Linked DNA regions of Arabidopsis thaliana. The protein of the gene in region 3 purifies or fractionates together with the protein of the main gene of each other region. This does not show direct contact. Each region holds a gene or a part of one and is shown on either strand. Other genes may lie near its edges. The genes, in order: PHB3, PHB4, AT5G37610 and PHB5.

Region 1 (6,591 bases), 1.4 Mb from region 3:
AGAAACAATCTGGAAATTGACATAAAATATGAAGAAAAAACAGAGGTTTGATGGGTCAACATGATCATAGATAGCATCAATCTTTTGGTTAAAGCATGTGGAACCAAAATCCGACATGTTTGCATGCACATTCTAACGGTCCTGGATATATCTTTCAGGTGTTCCATTTATATTAAAGGCCGGAAAAGCGTTGAATTCAAGGAAGGCAGAAATTCGCATTCAATTCAAGGATGTCCCAGGCGACATATTCAGATGTATTGTCTTGCCCTGACATCGTGTTTTGAATCTTCTTTTAGCTTTTTGAATTTAAATATATGTAAAGACACAATGTATCGCTTTGTCTAAACTCTCTTGCAACAGGTCAAAAGCAAGGAAGGAACGAGTTTGTGATACGCTTGCAACCTTCAGAGGCAATGTACATGAAACTAACTGTAAGTATATGATGAACAAACAAACATAATTTACTAATTACTCTGACCTTGAACCACTACAGTGAACCATAACGCTTTTGGCTATGCTTTTGCTACACAGGTTAAGCAACCAGGTCTAGATATGAATACTGTGCAAAGTGAACTAGACTTGTCGTATGGGCAACGGTATCAAGGTGTCGCTATCCCTGAGGCATACGAGCGCTTAATTCTTGACACGTAAGAAATAAATTTTCTAAATTATATACTACCCCAATAGGCTTTATATATCTAATTGATGCCTTCTGTTCCTTCATGTTATCTTCAACATATTTTCTTTCCATCTCTCTGCAGAATCAAAGGCGATCAACAACATTTCGTTCGTAGAGACGAATTAAAGGTAGAAACATTTTCTAACGCCACCCTTAAACCAAAGCAGTCTCTGAGATCGTTTTTTTGTTACATTACAAATGCTCTAACTATAGACACAATCCAGACACAAACTTTTGCATCATACAATTCAGGAGCTAACATTTGTATCCATTTTGATGATTATTACAGGTTGCGTGGGAGATCTTCACGCCGCTACTCCACAGGATCGACAAAGGAGAAGTAAAGTCAATCCCATACAAACCAGGAAGCCGAGGACCGAAAGAAGCTGATCAGCTACTAGAGAAAGCTGGTTATCTTCAGACTCACGGCTATATCTGGATCCCTCCTACACTATAAAACCCTACATATATATAAATACACAATACATGTATCTACATGTATATGTATAAATTATGCTGAATAGTCCCTCCTCGAGTTTGGTGTTTGTACGTGAAACTTGCTACTTCAGCTGTTCACTTTGACACTTCCTTTGGTCTTGTATTTGCGGCTTTGTAGAAATAAAAATAAAAATCTTACCAATACCATAAATGAATTTAGCTTTTGTTGTGCTCGTTAAATGAATGAAATTGACGATGAGATAGAAAAAATTGCCAAAAAATGTAGAGTTTGTTGATATACACACATAAGTTCAATCTAGAGGTGGTTGAAACACACATTAAGTTCCATCTAGAGTTTGTTGACACAGACACATAAGTTGAGTCTAGGAACCGACGCCGTCTTTACATAGTCATCATTATCATTAGATGACCAAAAAAAAAAAAACTAAAACCGATGGATAAAATGGATCTCGATAGAAAAGGCTATCTTTCATGATTTCTCTTCTTTATTTGCTTTGTTTCTGAACTTGCTCTGTTTATGCAAAAACAATTGAATGTCCATACAGATCGAAATTTGACGTAGACTATCGACAGTTTATGCAAAATAGGTACCATCTAGATAATCCAGATGTGACCATAGTTTATCCGCATAGAACAACACTCCTAGGTACCATCTGTATTTTCTTTTCTCACGCATGTGTAACAAACAAATTACTTACAGTTCAGCCAAAATCATTTATTTGTTGAGAATTAGATAAACATGATGCTGAAAACAAAGATTCTTCAGGTAGAGTAAATTTTGCCGAGATTCAGAACACAATAATGACAACTCAAACAACTAGTTTCTTTTTCTTCTTCAGAGTTCATCAAAACAAAAGAGCATTTCACCTTTTTGATTCAATCAGATTCACAACTTGATCATTAAAATATCGCAAAATGCTCCCAAACAACCTGCACATAACCATAATACAAAGCCTTCAGACAAATCACAAAACGACTTAATTCTATGGATTCAGATGAAGCTTTTACATACCATCATATCTGATCAAGATCAACGGTTCAGGGCAAAGAGCATGCTCTGGCCACCGGGTAAGTAGGCCACATTAGGAGACCTAGCAAGTGTAGACGCAATCTCCCTTGAAGCTTCAATCCTCCTAAGCTCGATAAGTCCCATACCAGCTTTAGCCGTAGCATCAGAAATCAACTGAGCAGCTTCACTTTCACCTTCAGCTCTTATAACCGCAGCTCTCCTCTCTTGATCAGCCTTCATCACAACAAACTTAGACCTCTCTGCCTCTTGCTGAGCCACTTGTTTCTGCTCAACAGCCCTTGAAAACTCCACACCATAGGACAAATGCGTGATAGCTACATCATCAAGCACAATGTTGAAGTCCTTCGCACGGGTGATTAGTGACTCCCGAACAAGTGCTGAGACGTGAGGACGCTCAGTGAGAAGCTGGTCAGCGTTGAACTGTGCAACCACAGCTTTCAAAACCTCATTTCCAATCGAAGGAAGAACCTTCTCGTCATACTCTAGACCCAAAGTTTGGAAGATGTACGGGAGACGCGACACCTTCACAACAATTCACATCACATAAACACACCAAATTAATAACGATTCTACAATACCTAGTCCTCGAAACAAATTTTGAAAATCATAGATCATCAAAACCCTAAACCCTAAATCCAATTCGCAAATGAATCTGAAAAACCTCAATTCAGAGAAATCAAACGAGTCTAGATCAAAAATGAAGAACCGTTATGCGTTATACCTCAGGACGAGAGAGAACACGAAGAGTGAGATTAACCATCTGGAGATCCTTAGTACCAGAGATTGAAGAGAACGTGTGAGGCTTCGTGCGGATATCGAAGATGTGAGGCCTCTGAAGAATCGGGATCAAGAAATGAGTCCCTTCACCCACAGTCTGATCCATCACTCCCCTGAATCGATCGAAGATAACAGCTCTTTCTCCGCCGTCAACGGTGAAAAGCGATGTATTCAGCACCGTCGCCGCCGTTCCAAGACCGAAAGCAGCCTTCGCCAAATTGGAAAGGAACGAAACAGCCGCTTGTTGGCTTCCCATTTTTGCGTGTGGATTATCTTGAATCGAGAGAGAAGAAGAAGGAAGAAGAGATTTGAGACGACGAGAGAGGAAAGAGTTTCTGCTAGGGTTTATGATATGTTTCTGGAACCTACCACGGGAAATGATTTAATGGGCCAAGTAACTTAGCCCAATATTATTATGTGACTATATAAGCCTATTAAGAACTAAATTCAATAATGGGTTTCATGACATTGGGCTGAAAACAGCTTAACGGTTACAGAGTATGTTTAATATCTTTTTGTCTCATAAATTATGTTTCTCTCAATTTTTTTTATTTTTTTTTTACTGAAAGATAGATTATAGATAGAGTTTACAAAGTTAAAGCTGACGATTAACAAGATAATCTCAAAAACTAAGTCGACGGATAACAAAAATCCTCGGAGACTAAAGCCCAAAAGTATGGGAAGCTAACAAACATTACTTTAAATGCATAAGAAAATAGAAACTGAACCATGGAAAATCAAAAACTATAACCAGAATCTAGCACATGAGACATTGCCCACCATCAATCCAAGATAAAGAAAAGCTTGCAGAAATGGCTAAACGACGGGGAAATTCTAATCCACAGCATCAAGATAGCAGCTCTTCTTATAACAAATGAAGACTACCTCACAGTTCAAAAACAGCATCCCAACCAGCAAGAAGAAACCAAATATAAAACAGCAAAATCGAGGCAATGAAAACCAAGATCGGTCAACGCCAATAGTTTATCTCAATTTGTTTAATCAAATAAAAATTGAAGAATATACCTACTTGGACATTTGTATGGTGTTAAGGGCCTACTATAAAAGTATTAGATTAGTACAAGCCAACGGTAGTGAACAAAAATATTCTTCGAGCTACTTGACAAACACGAAGTTGAATAAGGATAACTACTTTTTCGTATAAGAAAAATATTTACATGTGAGCATGATTAATCCTTTTCAAATATAACGGCAGGGGACGTTGTTGTTGAGTTTTTCCAGTATAAAAAGTGTTTTTTTTTCCTTAAAAGAAAAGTTGTGAAACAATGATATCTATTTTTGAAAACTTTTTGTGACTATTTTTTGACCAACAAACAGTATACGCGAATACTTTTCTATTCGGTTAAGTGGGATTTGAAGACAGATGTACACGAGTATTAAAACTGAATCTGAAAGCATGTAAATCTCCAAATATTTTATCCGTAAAATTGTTATGTATCTTCGACCAAAAAAATATAGAGATATTATGTATCACTTAATTAATATGACTCAATTAAGTCGTCTCGAATACTAAGAAAATTATGGAGTTTTACTTGGAAGGTCACACAGTGACCTCACCACGTTATCGAAAATGTCAAATGTTTCGGTGTCGAATCTTATACAGGTTTGAAAATAACCTTTAAAATAGATTTATATTACAGAAAAGTCCTTCAATATTGATTTTCAATTAAAATATTGCAGAGAAATCTTTAATTTCAAAAACTAAACGCCAACTTCAAAGATTGAGCTAAATTCGATTCTTTCAACATTTTGACTCCAACCGGATATATATGTAGTCATCAATATTATCGAAACAGGTAAAAGAAACAACCCAAGTGAAGGAAACATGAATCTTTGATAACCAATTAGAGTGAGAAGTGTATAATTGTAAAATAAACAAACTGAAACTAATATTAATATATATATATATAATTATATATATACTACTACTACTATACTAGGTTATTTTGTCAAATATATATATATGGTACATGACAACAATAATAAGAAACAATTTACACTTTTGTGTTTGCTCATCAAGAAATTTGGAACAAAGTCCAACTAATCTTGGGATAGATCGACCAAAACAAAACGTTCACTTGGTTTTTAATCGGTCAGAAAGAATATGTTTAGGCTAAACATTGAATCGAATTATCATCTGACCACCAATGGTAGATCAATAAAAAGTATTGATGTGTTTTTATCTAGCTAGTGAAAAAATTTTAGAATTGCCATTTACTTAAATATGAGACTCATTACATATAATGCAAATATTCTTTAGTCTAAGCTATAATGGATGCTCATTTGTTGTTTAGTGCACATAATTTTCCTCCACCAATGGCCAGTATTTGTTTACAAACTAGTATAAGATAATGTAAGCTAATTATCACATACATGATGTCACGTTGATACACTAAATTATAAAAATTATAATTTAGTGTCAAAGTGCAGATCGAAACTATAGCTAATTGGTGGTGTTGAAATTATTCATACCTTAGTAATAATTATAAAATCAATTGATTGTAATCTAATAGTTTCGTTGACCATATACAACGAAGATGAAATAGATTGACGAGTAAATAAAAATAAATTTGCAATCTGGTGGAGATAAATTTCATCCTTAACCTACAACACTAGGTGACACGTAACAATTAAACCGAGTCAACTGATTATTTCTTTGAAGAAAACTTCCTCTCGTGTACAGCTTCCGAGATGCTTCACTGGAGGCATTAACTACTTTGATCATTTGATTTTTGTTTGCACAATCACTAAATGCAGATACAAACATGCCCGCGCTGAACTATATTACATAAGCATGTATCTCTCATTCGATGCGGAGATACAGACGGAACACTCGAGTTGCCAATTGCGGTTTAGTCTACACGCTTCTATTGAAATAAACATAACAAGTCTAAGATTATGAGCTTACGACATTGGACAACATCCATATAAAACTCCTGTAAACTGTAATTAGGTTATTTAAACCAGTAATTCATATATATAGGATATTTAGTGAGTTGCTTCTTTGAACAACGTATCTCTTTTTTTATTTTTGTCTACTATATTTTCATAAAGTTTTACATGAGATAGATTCATCTTGCGTTTAATCTATTTATATGGTATTAGTATTTATACGCTAATTTGTTCGTCTATTTTTCTCTTTTTTGGAAAAAATTCGAACTTCATCAGTTGACTCATTAAATAACTTTCCCAACAGAGTTTTACTTTACACGTTTTTTCTTCAATCCCAATAAATTCCACACACAAAAACCTAACTATAAAACAGTTTTGACTTTTAAACATTTCAATAACATTTTCTAATCATTGTTATTATTATCATAAGCCATAACATGTCATCACATAAATGCTCACATGCATAACGACGAGATAAATCGAGAGTAAAAATATTCTTTGTGCATATAGGAGTTGTTCGGAATCGGATAATGATGAATTTAGTTAGAATTAAGGACTCATCATACAAATAACATTCATCACTATACCTTTTTTTTTCTTTTTTTTTTTCATCACTATACCTATTTGCTTGAAATTTTTAACTAATTAATCTTATGATGATACCTTAATTTTTTCAACCATGTTGATGAATCCGTATATAAATATTTTATTTTACACATCTTCTTAGTTTCTA
Region 2 (5,969 bases), on a different chromosome or scaffold from region 3:
TTATATGCTATTAGAGTTGTTTAATAGTAAAAAAACAAAAAAACTTTGGTTGACTCTGTCAAGAATAAAATGAGATTTGTTCTCTAATTTTAGCGTAAAATAATAAATCTGAATTAATCATATCCCATTATCTCTGGACTTGGAGCTATATGATCAGTACTATCATTGAATTTAGACACAAATTGGTTATAAGGGTGTTCGTTTAATATAGTTTGGTATTCGGTTTTTACAAAATAAATTTGAAAATCCGAGACAAATTGGATATTCAAAATAATTGACAGATCGTAAGGTTTATTTTTATTGAAGATAGAATACTTTTAATTATTATTGTGAGTCGGTCTTAGGTTGTTGAGACGAAAGTTAATTATAAGAATGTTTGTCACAACCCATTACTAAGTCTAAAGCATAGAAAACTTGGGATGACTAAACTTGGGGTGACTTGTACAATATCAAAAATCGAGATCATTGCCTCGGACAATAATAAATTCCACAAAAGTACGAGTGACTAGTGTCCACGAGACTAGTGGTTGAAAATTAGGACTTGAATTCATTCCCTCTAGAAGTTTATACAAATTTCAGACCAACTTTTTAATTAACACTTTTTTTCATTTATTTTTTCTTGAGCAAAATAAGAGAGGAAGTAAGATAGATTAAAATTTAAACAACCACAAGATAAACATGCTTTAAGATTCTAGTTAAGAGATGGATAATTGAACGAATCCAAACCAATTGGAGGGGAATGGTCTGTTAGATTTCACATGTTAGAGGTTCCTCCATGAAGTCTAGAGTTAGACTCTTTCGAAATCTCACAAAATGTAGCTTGAAGGATGAGTTTGACATCAACAATCTGTTGGTCCAATAGTAAATCTCCCAGATGGAGGTGTTGAGTTCAAAGCATGTTGGGAGGGATTTTTTCTCCTAAAAAGATGAATTTAACTTGGTGTAGGTCTCGCCAGGCTGACCTCGCCCATATTTACAAATTACAATATCATCAAAACCCGAAGGAGTAAACAAAGAGTGGTGATTAAAGAATGAAGTGTCATTTTAAATAGCTCCCACTTGTTTTTCTCTCGATCTCAATCTGACAGAAACTGATATATTCCACTGATCTTCATCGATTCATCAAAGTTTTAGATTTTAATTCAGATTTCATCTTAAGGGAGGGTATTACGAGTATAGGAATGTGATTATCATATTAATGAAAGTTGAGGTTTTAAAAATAGCTTAACCAAACAAATGTAATCTTGCCAAAAAGATATAAAATGAGTCCATCAACAAAATTTATCGGAGTTACAAGATCATCAGATTCCGAAAAGCTTTTCTGTTTATGCGAGCGGTAATAGTGTTTTTTGATGTCTCCGTCGATTTCTTTGAAGGTGGCCAAAGGCGAAACGGAGACACTATTGTGCAACAAGTTGTTCATTTGTTTCCAAACATGGTAAGCTGTAGCATGAGCAACTCCTACTAATTTCCAAAGAATTGTGGGAGCAGTCTCTGTTTTTAGCTTAGTCCAAGCCAGAATTGAAATCCAAGTAATAAAGATATAAGGCGATATCGTTAATCCTCTTCTGGTGTTTTCTGTATGTAAAACGGCGTCTTTCTTTTGATTCGAAACGGAGGAGTTTGTGAAGGGTAACAAGACGGAATGGTTCTTTATATCTGGGAGGACCAAGATGGGGAAATGTGGAAAAAGAATGAATCGTAGAGACAATGGAGGATACTGGAGGGTAGTATCATCTCTGCCAAGAAGATTCATGCTGGAGAAGCAGGCCTTGTCGGCTACAAATACTCACTAGAGTACTACATTGGAAAACAACCAAAATGGCGTAAAAGAGGGTTGGTTGATGCATGAACACTGGCTTAAGTCTTCTGATGATATTAATAACTACGAGCTGGTAAGAGTATATATGTACGTTTACTTACTTGGTTTCCAAGTTATTGAGACTCTTGAGTTTTGGTTTTTATTGTGACGACTTCTGTTGTTTTGTTTGAGTAGGGCAATTATGCTATGTGCAAGATCTATCTGAGTCCACACGCAGCAAAGAAGAAGAAAACACACGATGAAGAGATCGACGATTTAGTTCAATTTGTGGAAGCAGCCTTAGATGTTTCTTTTTATCTACTTTTGCTGTCCAAAGTCAGAGGTCTCATTGTCTTTATATAGAATTTCTTGTATATAACATTTTCCACTGGTTGTATAGAAAAATCAATTTTAGTCTTTTGTGCTTATTCACTCTAATCAAAATCTCTAATCAAGGTGAAGGAGGAGGTGGAGGAAGAACATTTTCATCTTGCTCTCTAAGAAGATCCAAAATCTCTGCAGGGTTGTTATCAACACGCTCTTCGTCTCTGTCTTCCTCTCCGGATTTAGTTTCGTTTATGGGCAAATAATCAAATTCGGGTTTAATCTTCCAAACCGTTGTTTCCTTTTATATTACATCATTTCCTTTTCCTTTTTTATTATTGGGCCGAAGTAGTTTATATTATTAATGGGCTTTAAACAAGCCCATATTCAATAATTGTCGGCCAAAAAAAACCCTCTCTTCCAAGTTCCAAAATCATTTCATAAACCCTAACAAACCCCTAAATCTTTCCTTTCTCAATTCTCTCCTTCGAAGCTTTTTTCTTGTGAGGTCAGAAAAGAAAATGGGAAGTCAACAAGTAGCGATTTCGTTTCTGACGAACTTGGCGAAGGCGGCGTTTGGGTTAGGTGTGGCGGCGACGGCACTAAACTCGTCGCTCTACACTGTTGATGGTGGCGAGAGAGCTGTTTTGTTCGATCGATTCAGGGGAGTGTTGGATCAGACCGTCGGCGAAGGGACTCATTTCTTGATCCCGTATCTCCAGACGCCGCACATATACGATATTCGTACGAAACCTCACACTTTCTCCTCCAAATCTGGTACTAAGGATCTTCAGATGGTTAATCTCACCCTTCGTGTTCTCTTTCGCCCTGAGGTAATTTCGATTTTAGCAACAATCAATTTCTCGATTCTGTGTTTGATTTTGTATACATTGGTTGTTTACAAGATCGAGGGTTTAGGATGATCGTGTTCGTTCGATTTAGCAATCATTTATCGATTCTGTGTTTGATTTCGTGGAATTTGAAGTTTGTGTACAAGATCTAGAGTTGAAGATAATCCTTATGTGTAATTTGGTTTCTTCGATGAATGTTACTCTTATTATAGAAGCTTTTGGTGCATATCTATGCTGGCTTCGATTGTTTGAGGGATTGAATAAGTTGTTGTGGTTATTTTACTGTGAAGGTTTCGCGTCTCCCGTACATTTTCCAAACATTGGGTCTTGAATACGATGAGAAGGTTCTTCCATCGATTGGAAATGAGGTCTTGAAAGCTGTGGTTGCTAATTTCAATGCTGATCAGCTCCTCACTGAGCGTCCTCAAGTATCAGCACTTGTTCGTGATGCTCTTATCAAGCGTGCCAGGGAATTTAACATTGAGCTCGACGACATAGCCATTACTCACTTATCGTACGGTGCTGAGTTCTCGAGGGCAGTGGAGGCGAAGCAAGTGGCTCAGCAGGAAGCTGAAAGGTCAAAGTTTGTGGTGATGAAGGCTGATCAAGAGAGGAGAGCTGCGGTTATAAGAGCAGAAGGTGAGAGTGAAGCTGCTCAGTTGATATCAGATGCAACAGCTAAAGCAGGAATGGGACTAATTGAGCTTAGGAGGATTGAAGCTTCAAGGGAGGTTGCGGCTACTCTGGCTAGGTCTCCGAACGTGGCTTACTTACCTGGTGGACAAAGCATGCTCTTTAATCTGAACCCTGGTCGTTGAGCTATAACATTGGTATGCTCTTTTACTTCTTTGAATAATGAATGAAAAATGGATTTGGACTTAAGATTCCCATTTAAAGGCATTAAGGTTATTCGGTTTGGTTGAACTAAGAGTGGTTATGGTTTGGTATAAACTGTTTGGTTTGATAGTAGAGTATGGTTTAGGTTTGTGGAATGGTGTGGTTTACTTGTTTGGCCTTGTTGTATTTGCAGGTGGGAAGAGGAGCTTCAGTGGAGACAAAACGACGGAGCTGTGAAGTTTATTAACGTTGATGCTCTTTTATTTCTGATGAACACGATGTGAAAAAAGATAATTGTTTTGAGCCGTTCTATCTTTTCTGACTCTAGAAGTAAAGACTATGCCATTGTTGTCGAAACCCGATCATTCCAATGAAAGGCTTCACCAAAAAATCTACCATAACAATAGTCGAAATTTGTATTGTCAAAAACAATTTCCAACACCAAGGTTGTTGTACTTGTATTATTTAAAATATAAATTAAAACATGGTAAATAAATTAAATAAAACTTTTTTATGTGGTCACTTTGGTGGCTTCGGTACATGCGGTGGCCTCTTGTGGTGGGGTAGACAAACTCTAAGTATAGTGCATTCACAAACTTTAACTTTTCCCTTCAAATTACAATTTGCTCCACCATAACCTTCGTTGTTACAACTCGTTCGGCACCTCCTAGCACCGTCTACCTTATTACACGTCTCTGGCGGTGCTTTGCTTGGATAATCATCACACAATTCCCAATTCATTGCTTTTCCTAATACAATAATTCGATCAATTACAAGTATTTATATCGTATTGATTATATATGCATATTTTTGTTTTTTTTCAATGAAAATATATTTGGTAGAAGATTTAATATTATTTACGATTTTATCTCCTTGTAGTGATTTATTTTACAGCTAAATTACAATTTTGACAAATTTCCTTAATTTTTTTTTTAAATGAGTATAAGAAGTTCCATTTTTTCAATATTTGTATATCTTGTAATTTATAAACCAAAAGTTTAACCGCAAATAACACCTTTTTTTTTTGTTGCATTAAGCATCTATCATTATAAATCAAACTTTTAGACATTTTGTTTTTCCTTTTATAAGTTTTTATTTTTCTTTGTTAATAGAGTGTTTTATGAATAATAAATCTAAGTGTCATATTGCTATATATCAGGAATTATTATTTCTAAAAATAGAAGAAGAAATGAGAGATAATCCGTAAAAAATGCCTATGAAATTGTTTAATGAAAAGAAACATTCATTATTAATTTATATCATAATTCTCTTTTTTCATATAACTTTGATATGTTTCTTTATTAAAAATATGTTATTTAAACGTAATAATTACCTACATGATATTATGCATTATACACTGGATGTACAAACTGCGAATAAGTATTGGAATATGAGAGGTATTATTAAGTAAACTAGGTTTGGATGAAGTGACTAGTGAGGATGGTTGGGAGATCTTGCAATGAAAGTTTGTGATCATGGGCTCATGTTTCCAGGGAATGTACAAGCAGGAGTGGATTGATAAGAGATTGATCCATTTTGAAAATTATACAAGTCATTTAACAAAAGCTACATATGGAGGAGATTAAAAGACTAATTAATGATAATGTAAAATAACTCTGATATATTCTTTATTCTCTTCTCTTTTCTTGTAAGTTCTACTTATTTCCCATTTGAATCCTGGTGCTTCAACTTTCAAGTAAAGCTCTAGTCTTTGCTTCTCTTCATCTCTCATGATCAAGTTTGACTCGAGTCCGTTGCAGAATCAAGTTTAGCTCAGATCTTTCATGATGCTGTAGATGAAGACTAAACACCCTTCTGAGTCTTATCATGTTTCCATTTTTTGTTGCAGCTCTTCTTATTGACTTAGGTTTGATACCTCAAGCACCAAGACTCTTCATTCTTCAGAAAACAGTGTATTGAGGATCAAAGTAATGTGTTAAGCTTCGGTTTTGACTTCAAATAAACTATTATAAGCGGTTAGACCTCTTCTCAATGCATACCACACAGCTGAATGCAAAACAGAACGGCTTGTTTTCACAGTCATTTAAGCAACTCCCACACTCATGGCAACGTTCTATGCAGACAACGCAAGCTCTGCAAGATGACTTAGAATAAGGATATTGACCCTTCAATGGACATGTATCTGCTGGACAATC
Region 3 (4,601 bases):
GCCAAACCTATCACATAGTTAACCAGATCATCAACACATAATGTTCTCTAATACTTCATCATCAACCTTTTATTTTTTCTTGTGATAAAAGTTTTTCAAAATAATACAAAGATTAAATATTTCTAGTAATAATGTAATAAGACGACAAAAATGTAAATAATACATTAAAAAAAAAAAACTTACAAGCCCATTAATGATCCATATGGGCTACATTATTTAGTTACTGATGCCCATTTAGTCTAACCAAATAATCTGCTCAAGAAACTTGGTATGAGTCAATTAGTGGCAATACTTCCAAATTGGTTAAACAACCAAGTAAACAACTAGTATGTTGATGAACCTTTCTGTTTTTTCATCTTCTTTTTCCTTTTTTGCGTCTGATTATCACAACTTATTAATTTAGTATGCGTGCAGGCATAAATGGCGCTGCTTGATTTGCAAGAGTGGACCTATGATCTCACATCAGAAACTGAACAACAATTATTTGACTTTTATTGTGAGATTTTCACATATCTGTTTTCAAGATTTTGTTTTAATGATTGAAATTCTGTTAATCTAATAGTATAAAGATTGGTATAGTAAGCTTAAGCACATGATACAATAATATACATCATCATTACATTATCACCAACATTTAATTAAAATGTGTAACAATCAGTTGGCCCACCTTAGGAATATTTTTAGAGACACTCCGTACTATTATTATTTGATAGTTTTCTTGCACGTCGTTGATCTGCTCACCAATTAATTAATTTGTTTTTGATCTTAGCTGATTAATAAAATTATACGATATTTCTTTGATTTAAGAATATATATTTGTTTCAAGAAATATAATTTTGTCTAATAATATACATTATGTGGATATCGAATATTAGTGAGAAATAAATCAAATCATTAGCCTACATATATCATTAGTTAACTACCGCAAAACGTTTATCTAAAGCAACTTAAGTCAAATATTTCGGAAAAGTCTACTAGTTTGAATCTATAAAATTTGGTCTAGTGGGCGAAAATTCAATATAGCTTTGGTAGATTATGCTGTAGAATAATGAAAAAATACATTTCAATAAGAATTTCAAAATAATGAAATATATATGTCATTATAATGATCAAAAACATGTTATTTTGTCATAAACTTAATTTGAAACACACATGGCATATGATCTTAAATCACCCTAGCTACTGTAATCTTTCTATGCAATAATTATTATTTATTTACAAAATGATTGAATCGATCGTCTAAGAAACATGACATATGCAATGCAGAGAGTTGAAAATGAATGTACTTTTTTGTCGATATGTCACCTTATGCAAGTTGTGAATGCAATAATTGTTATCGGACAATTCTGAAGGTACAAGTATTAACACTGTCATTATTCATAGGTCCCGTGTACGTATCCAATTTAGTTTCGTCGATTCCATTTCATATTTTTTTTTAATAAAAAAATCTTAAATAAAACAGAAATAGATTATTCACCTAATCTTAAACAAAAACTTAAAACATATTTCATCATAAATTTGTAACCAGAATTACACAAAAAAAGGGTTTAAAAGTGATCACTATTCATAGTTCAACTGCTAAACCAAATCGTTGACTTGAATGGTTCAACAATCTTTCTCCAGCTATGGTGAAAAATGATTTCAAAGTCCAATGATGTTGAAAAAGAACTCTCATAGAACCACCATTGCTCACACTCAATAAAGCTTGGATCAAATCGTCATCACCAAATAAATGTCTCTTCCCAATGGAGAAAGAGTTGCTCTTGTCAGATAATATGTACTTCGCCTCAGCACCACACACTGTTTTAGAGTGCAAGCGCTGGTAGTAAGAAGCAGTGAATAAGCTTGCTTTCTTATCAATGGAAAAGGTGGTTGTTGTGTCCTCGGTGATCAAACTAAGAACTGTGTTTGCCTTAGTGATTATCCGGTTCACAAGATCCAAAGTTAACTCAAATCCAAATCGCCAAAAGTCATTTCCGAATACAGCAGAAAAACTGAGAATTGGATTTGCAAACAACCCCACAATTGTACTGATTCTGGCCCGTTCGGATAACATGTTCAACTGAGCATGGTTGTAGTCATTTCGATTGGACAGGGACACATTGCAAAGAATCAAGGAGGTAAGCAAACTCTAGATGTCATTAGAACCCAACATCAATATAAATATAATATTGCTTACTCTCTAAAGATGTCCAACTTGTGCTTACTCTCTAGGGATGTCTACTACAAAAATATAATATAAATATAAATAAAATTGGGTGCACAAAAAAATAATATAAATAAATATATAATACCACAAATATTTAGAATATATATTAATCCAATATAAATTAAAAATTAAAAATTAAATTATGTTATTACTTTGGGTTCTCTATTTTTAATTTCTGATTTATATATCCATCGTTTAAAAAGTAGTTAATTGTTTTCTGGTTTATTCTCTTAAATATTTAATAAATTACATCTTTCCCAAAGCATAGTTAACTAAAATCAAACGATTTTATTATATTTTCTAAATTAGTGAGACATAGAGAAGATATAAAAAAAAAATTATATAGAAGTTCTAAAATTTTCGTATCATTTCCGTTTTGGAGATCCTATTTACAATTTAGAAGAAAATATATTCAATTAAACTCTTAATCCACGCTACATTTTTTTTCTTTTGGTTCCTCTCTCCTTTTAGAAAGAAAATATCTGAATCATCTTAATTCTCTCTCAATCTCCGAACCCTAATTCTCTCATCTTAATCCCCTTTCAGTCTCCCTCAAAATTTAGAATGGAGACTGAGATGAGAGAATTATATCTGACTCTTAGGAACTTCGGTTTCAAAGAAAAATTCGTATCAATAATGACTTCCTGGAGAAGATAAAATTCTTGGTCACTCTCCTCTGAGCCGAAGAGTTTTTTGAATTTCTTGTTTATGATTAGAACTCTTTTGAGACGTTTAACCGGAATCTTGAATTTATATAAGAAGATAGATATATCTTGATAATTTTGTCGAATCAATCGATGTCTTTGGCTTGAACCTTCTATCGAAAGACATTATCGAAAGACATTATGACTTCTCTAAAACTATAAGCTTACAAATCCCACATGTCAGACTTTGTAGTCATCTAATTGGAGCTACGTTGAATTGATACTACAAATTTTGTTCAAATGAAAAGTTATCATATAATTGCAAAGAATATATTAGATGTGTGTTCAATAAATAATTAAATATGATTTGAAATTAACTTTTAACTGTCAAAAATAATTATATTTTTAGAAAATTAAAAAAAAAGTCAACAATTTTAGACTTCAACTCTTACGGTTGTGGGCCGAGTCAACCGATGCCCGTCATAAACGTCCTCTTACATGCTCCCAAAACAAAGTCAACTCAACTATCTAATCGGAATATATATTTGAGTTTCATTATCTTTAATAAAGTTGAATATAAACCAAAAAAACAAAAACAAAAATCTTTGGTTTTAGATAGTTTACTTGGGTTTGTATGGCTAAGAATTTAGAGTATCTCCGGTTTCTTTGGTACTCGTTTTCTTGTCAAGTAAGAACAATATTTTGTGTTGAAAAGTCATTGTGGAAAAAAACCAGAATAGATTCAAGATGATCGAAGATTCGATAGACAAAACAATGACCTTGTGATATTGATATGACACCGTGATATTTTCACAAAATTCCTCAAGGAAAGATTTATTTTGATTCTTGTTTATGATTAATGACCTTAAACCCCATAAAATGATTGGAGAGAAACCGGAGATGTGAGACAAATGGTTTCGATCTAATACTAAATTTAAGTAAGCGAATTTCGTTTAAAAATAATAATCTAAGTAAGTTGCATTAGAAAACAAATACTAATTTCAAGATGATTAGAGTGTTTAATTATGGTTCCACCTAATCACCGTTTAAAACATTATTATACTAAATCTATTGATATATTTTGCACAAATAAAATAATATATCAATTATACTTGTCCGTTTTGTTTTATATATCATTTAAGATTTTTTTTACACATATTAAAAAAAAATATATTGTTATATCATATTATGTTTGTATCAATTAAAATTAATAATTTAAAAATCAATAACACAGAAAATGTAGTATTAAGAATATTAATATTTTTCCCAAATTTTATTTTAGCATTTACAGAAAGAGATTTTTACCTTAAATAATTACATTTCTTTCTCTTTTTATTCCAATGACCTCATACAAAATTGTAACCTGGTGTGTCTATATATGTAAACTTTAATATTCCTGAAAAATATGAGATTCCATTGGGCCGCGAAAGAATCTTTATAATTTTATTCCTGATATTTAGTTGTATTTTTTGTTTCTTTCCTTGTGGAGAGCCAAAAAGTCTCCAAAGTCTTCACGTCACCCTCTTCCTCAATCTCTGCACCCACCCCTCCTCCTTCTATAAGTACTACTCTTCATATCTCTCTCTACCAAAATATCAAAACACGAGACAGATTTGATTCCATTTTTATTACTGTTACTATCATCCAAACCCTTGGTATTTGTAGCCATGAGTCTTGTTTCAGATCTCATCAACCTTAACCTCTCAGACTCCACTGACAAAATCATTGCTGAATACATATGGTTCGTC
Region 4 (4,760 bases), about 10 Mb from region 3:
GATGATGATGTGTTGTGTGCTGTGCGGGATGCGTTTGAGACCACCATGATGTCGCAAGGATTAAGTGATTATCAAAAGAAGTTGCAGCTTGAGAAGCTGATGAACCTTGGAACTGGTAAAAGAAGAGAGTTGAGCAATGAATGGAAAGCACTATGTGTTGAGGAACTAAAATTGAATATCAACAAGCTTCGATTTTCCGCCAAGCTTGCAGAGGCAGCAAATGATGGTAAATAAAATGAAGAAACGCCATTTCAGCATTTGGTGTTTGTCGTTTCGGAATTGGCTTGAAAAATATAGTTTACTTCTTACTTCTTACTACTTATTAGCCATAGACCATTTACCTATAAATGTGGTTTATGTCTTTAGCTTTACTACAACTTCTGGTGATTGATCTACTTGGGAAAGTATTTGTACCATTTCACTTTGATTTTTACCATCACACCTCAGTGTCCTTCTTCATCATAAAAAGAGATGATATTATAAAGTTGTTTTGGTCAATATAATATATGATTAAATAGATATTTTGATACATGTGTCTATCAGTCTATCGTTTAAGCTAAAACTCAACGAGACGACAGACGATAAAAAGGGATTAAGTTTCTTCTGTGTAGATTATTCTTCTTCTTCTTCTTCTTCCATTGTCTCTTGGGTTGAGATTCCGATCTCAATGTCGATCAATATCGGAGAAATCTCAATTCCAGACCTTCCTATCTTCTTCTCCATGTTCTTAACCATCTACCTAATCGCTTACTTCATCGTCTTCCGCAATTGGAAACCACAAATCCGTCCCGAAGCTTCAAGCTGCCTGATCTCAATCTTCCATGGATCTCCAGCGGTTTTCCTCGCCACACGCGCAGTTTTCTCCTCCTCCGAACGCTCCTTCGCCTCCGCAAACACCGCCGCACAAAACACCGTCCTCGATTTCAGCGTCGCTTACTTCCTCACCGATCTCTTCCACTACATCGTCTTCAACCCTAACGACGTACTCTTCATCGGCCATCACGTAGCCACTCTATTCGTCTTCCTAACCTGCAGATTCCTCGTCTTCCACGGGGCTTGCGCCATCTTAGGCCTCCTGATTCTAGCTGAAGTAACAAGCGCGTGTCAGAACGCGTGGACGCTCGCCGGAGCAAGGAAGAATGATCCGGAATCACGATTAGCTGTGAAAGTGTACGATCTCTTGTCTCCTCCGTTTTACGCCTTCTACAGTATCGTTAGGGGTGTGTTGGGACCTTTGTTTTTCGGGAAAATGGTAGCGTTTTACGCTCGAGGTGGTGCTCATGGTGTGATACCTAATTGGTTGTGGATTTCTTGGGCAATTGTTGTTGGAATTGCTATTACTGTTAGTATACTTTGGATTTGGAATCTCTGGATAGAATTGTTTAGTGAAAGGAAAGCTAACAAAATCAGAGTAGACAAGAAAATTAGATAGTTTCTTCTTTCTTCTCTAGATCATTGTTTGATCTTCCTTTTCATGTACTATATATAATATATATACCATTATTATTCTCACCTTTTAGAATTCCTCTAAATGATGTATGTTTTGGAATAATAGATTTGCTTTTGGGTAAGCAGTATGTGCAAAATGCACTTTTAATTCAACTCTGTATTGTTCAGAAGTTCTTCTCTTAAGAGTTTCTTCCATACACATATGTCTTGTCTCTCTGCTACACTTGGTTGCTCACATCTTGATTCTTGATATTGATGAGAAACGTTTTCTTTATGAAGTGTGCCATTCTTGGTGAGTTATATTTGGCTTTATAACTCTCTTTGTTTACGGCCAACACCAAGTCCCCTGAAACCAGCAACTGGTAAGCCATATATTCTTTTACTTGGAAGAATCAAAAGTTAGCTGGGGAAGTGTAAGAAATTACGAAACACAGAGATTCATATCTTCGATCATTGGATTGTGAACTTTTCATGTGTTGAAGAGGATAGGAAGAGAATTGGGGACTAAACATACCATCCAAGCTGAGACATGGTGTTAGGCAGTCTGTTGTGGAAAGCTGAATGATATACCATTTGGCCAATGAATAGCATAAAATACACAAATTTAACCAATTTACTGAGAAGAGCATGGAATTAGAGAAAAATCTTTTAAGATCAAATAATCCCAAAGATAATAAGGAAAATGAAGGGATTGCTCAAACAAGGGGAATTATAAGGGACACATACAACAAGTCATTGTTGAATCTCATTTCAGTTCTTGGCCTTGATAGAATGGTTCTCCTTGATTCTAGCTCTGGTATCCAGCTTCACAAAACGTTTAAGATCATCAAAACTAAGAGTCTCAACGTTCTTCCTTCTAAGTTCGCTAAGCGCCGGTCGCTTATCAAGCAGATGCCATAAATAATCAGGGTGATCTGAATTAGGCAAGATCTTAGGGTCCAATCCATCTTTCAGAGTATTAGCACTAACAACCATACTCGATTTGATCTCTTTGCTCAAGTTCGATGCTTTTGGTGCATCATTACCTCCATCTCCCCTCCCAACCTTCTTCGCTTTACCAGCAGCTGTAGCAAATGTTCTTTGGCACACAAATCGCATTACATCTTTGGATCTAGAAATGGAATCCCCAAACATTCGAATAAGGTTCATATCAACAACCTTATACCTGCAAATTCACAAAATAAAACTAAATAAATCTACACAATCCTATAATGTTCGTTCTCGGATTTAGATCAAGATTCGAGTTTTGTCGAAGATTTTTGGGTGAGGGTTTAACTCGCAAGATAGAGATAGGTAGCGAGTGCATCGCGGGAACTGGTAAAACTTATTAAAAAGTAACGGACCGGAAAATTAAAAGACCCGTCTAAAAGCCCACCAATAGTAATGCATACAAGTAACACGTGGCAGGTATGGTTGACCGAGTGAGTAACAGAACGTGAGAAAACCGACCCGCTAAATAAGAACCCGCCCAATATAATAAGCTTTCTCCTTAACTTCTGCCTCACGCAAAAAAAAAAACTTCCTATAAAACCTCATCTCCTGCGTTCTCTAACTACTTCTCACCTATCTGACAAGAAAAGAAACCCTAAACAACATAAAAAGAAACCTAAAATCCATACAGGAGACATTCAAAGCCAATCATGCCTTGGTCAAAGTTCACAAAGGTAGCTCTAGGTCTAGGAGCTGCCATAGCGGCTGTGAGATCAACAATGTTCACCGTTGATGGTGGCCAGAGAGCTGTTATGTTCCACCGATTCGAAGGGATTCTAGAAGAACCAGTAGGAGAAGGGACACATCGTAAGATTCCGTGGGTGCAAAAGCCGTATATCTTCGACATTCGGACCAAACCCTACAAAATCAATACCGACTCTGGAACTAAGGATCTTCAGATGGTCAACCTCACACTTCGTGTTATGTTTCGCCCTGATGTAAGTTCCCGCGAATATCCAAAAAATTTCACTAATAAGATTTTGTGATATATATGTAAAATAATATATAACTGTTTTCCGTGGGTTCGTGTTAGGTTTCGCGCCTCTCGTATATATACCAAAACTTAGGTCTCGACTATGGTGAAAAGGTCCTACCAGCGATCGGGACGAGGTGGTTAAAGCGGTGGTGGCTCAGTTCAACGCTGACGAGCTCTTAACAGAACGTCCACAGGTCTCAGCTCTTATACGCGAAACGTTGATCAAGCGAGCTAAGGAGTTCAACATTGTTCTCGATGACGTGTCGATCACTGGTCTCTCATACGGTAAAGAGTTCTCACTTGCGGTGGAGCGGAAGCAGGTGGCACAGCAAGAAGCTGAGCGGTCCAAGTTCGTAGTGGCAAAGGCTGATCAGGAGAGACGAGCGGCTGTGATTAGAGCAGAAGGAGAGAGCGAGGCGGCTCGGGTTATATCGAAAGCGACTGCAGGGGCTGGGATGGGGTTGATCAAGCTCAGAAGGGTCGAGGCGGCTAGAGAGGTTGCGATTACGCTCTCTAATTCTCCCAATGTCGTCTATTTGCCAAGTGGTGGGAATATGTTGTTTGCAATGAACGGTCCAAGCAAAGTTGTTGCTTGAATTAGTTGCAAAAATATGGTGTTCAATGGTTATATTGATTTGTGTGTTTTAAGATTTTCATTTTTTTATATAGTTTCCTAGTATTGGATCACCCTAGTATACTCCAGTTGAGACTGTTCTTGCGAGTCTGAGACTCGCACACATGACACATGACACATCTACTGTTAAGTCGACATTGACATCAAATTAAACAATCACTGTGCCAATCAAACTTATGCATAGACCTAGAGATAATTAAGTAGTCCAAGTTCAAAGGTTGATCTAACCTGGATCAGTGCCCTTGGTAGCTATGGCACATACTTCCTCACTAGGGAAAATGGGAGCTGATTATCCAGCAGCTTTCGATTAGATATCAACAAACAAAATGCAAATTAGGTTATCTTAGAAAGAAAAAAAAACAAGCTATTCATCGGATCACAAGTCACAAGTGTCACCTCGAAAGAAACTTGGGCCCATCTATATTATCTTATGGGCCTTATCGACCGATTCAAATATTGCAAATTAGTGTCGTTAACCTTTTTTGAAAACATACGGCCATTAGTGACAATTTAATTAATATTCTACAAATTCGAGCAGTGTCTTCTACATTTCTTTGTAAAGTCTTTGGTTTTTAATTTTAAGGTCAAGTTCACCATGAGCGACCAAAGTTTTGAATTTTTCAAGGTTTTTATTTTCATTTTATCGTTGTATGGAGAAAGTTTCTTATATCTTCATTTGAACATTGAATAGAATTATTAAACATTATAATT

The links.
Region 1: the proteins of AT5G37610 (region 3) and PHB3 fractionate together in Arabidopsis thaliana (co-fractionation; one large-scale study listed by BioGRID). This does not show direct contact.
Region 2: the proteins of AT5G37610 (region 3) and PHB4 fractionate together in Arabidopsis thaliana (co-fractionation; one large-scale study listed by BioGRID). This does not show direct contact.
Region 4: the proteins of AT5G37610 (region 3) and PHB5 fractionate together in Arabidopsis thaliana (co-fractionation; one large-scale study listed by BioGRID). This does not show direct contact.

The regions. Positions count from the first base shown.
Region 1 is NC_003076.8:16,313,421-16,320,011, forward strand, and holds PHB3 (prohibitin 3), read right to left. Parts: upstream 3,872-6,591; 5' UTR 3,202-3,871; coding exon 2,890-3,201; intron 2,691-2,889; coding exon 2,169-2,690; 3' UTR 2,151-2,168; intron 2,069-2,150; 3' UTR 1,430-2,068; downstream 1-1,429. Other genes in the region: G6PD6 (glucose-6-phosphate dehydrogenase 6), read left to right, coding at 159-254, 361-431, 532-647, 762-807, 969-1,136. UniProt on the Arabidopsis thaliana protein: Prohibitin probably acts as a holdase/unfoldase for the stabilization of newly synthesized mitochondrial proteins. Necessary for mitochondrial and cell metabolism and biogenesis.
Region 2 is NC_003074.8:10,074,258-10,080,226, forward strand, and holds PHB4 (prohibitin 4), read left to right. Parts: upstream 1-2,551; 5' UTR 2,552-2,646; coding exon 2,647-2,958; intron 2,959-3,266; coding exon 3,267-3,794; 3' UTR 3,795-3,806; exon of another isoform or gene 3,807-4,006; 3' UTR 4,007-4,351; downstream 4,352-5,969. Other genes in the region: AT3G27270 (TRAM, LAG1 and CLN8 (TLC) lipid-sensing domain containing protein), read left to right, coding at 1,377-1,449; AT3G27290 (RNI-like superfamily protein), read right to left, coding at 5,781-5,969. UniProt on the Arabidopsis thaliana protein: Prohibitin probably acts as a holdase/unfoldase for the stabilization of newly synthesized mitochondrial proteins.
Region 3 is NC_003076.8:14,935,576-14,940,176, reverse strand, and holds AT5G37610 (Eukaryotic porin family protein), read right to left. Parts: upstream 2,146-4,601; 5' UTR 2,057-2,145; coding exon 1,565-2,056; downstream 1-1,564. Other genes in the region: GSR 1 (uncharacterized protein), read left to right, coding at 4,521-4,594.
Region 4 is NC_003076.8:4,610,013-4,614,772, forward strand, and holds PHB5 (prohibitin 5), read left to right. Parts: upstream 1-3,089; coding exon 3,090-3,377; intron 3,378-3,549; coding exon 3,550-4,011; downstream 4,012-4,760. Other genes in the region: AT5G14280 (DNA-binding storekeeper-like protein), read left to right, coding at 1-234; AT5G14285 (DNA-binding storekeeper), read left to right, coding at 668-1,432; AT5G14290 (Mitochondrial ribosomal protein L37), read right to left, coding at 2,200-2,598.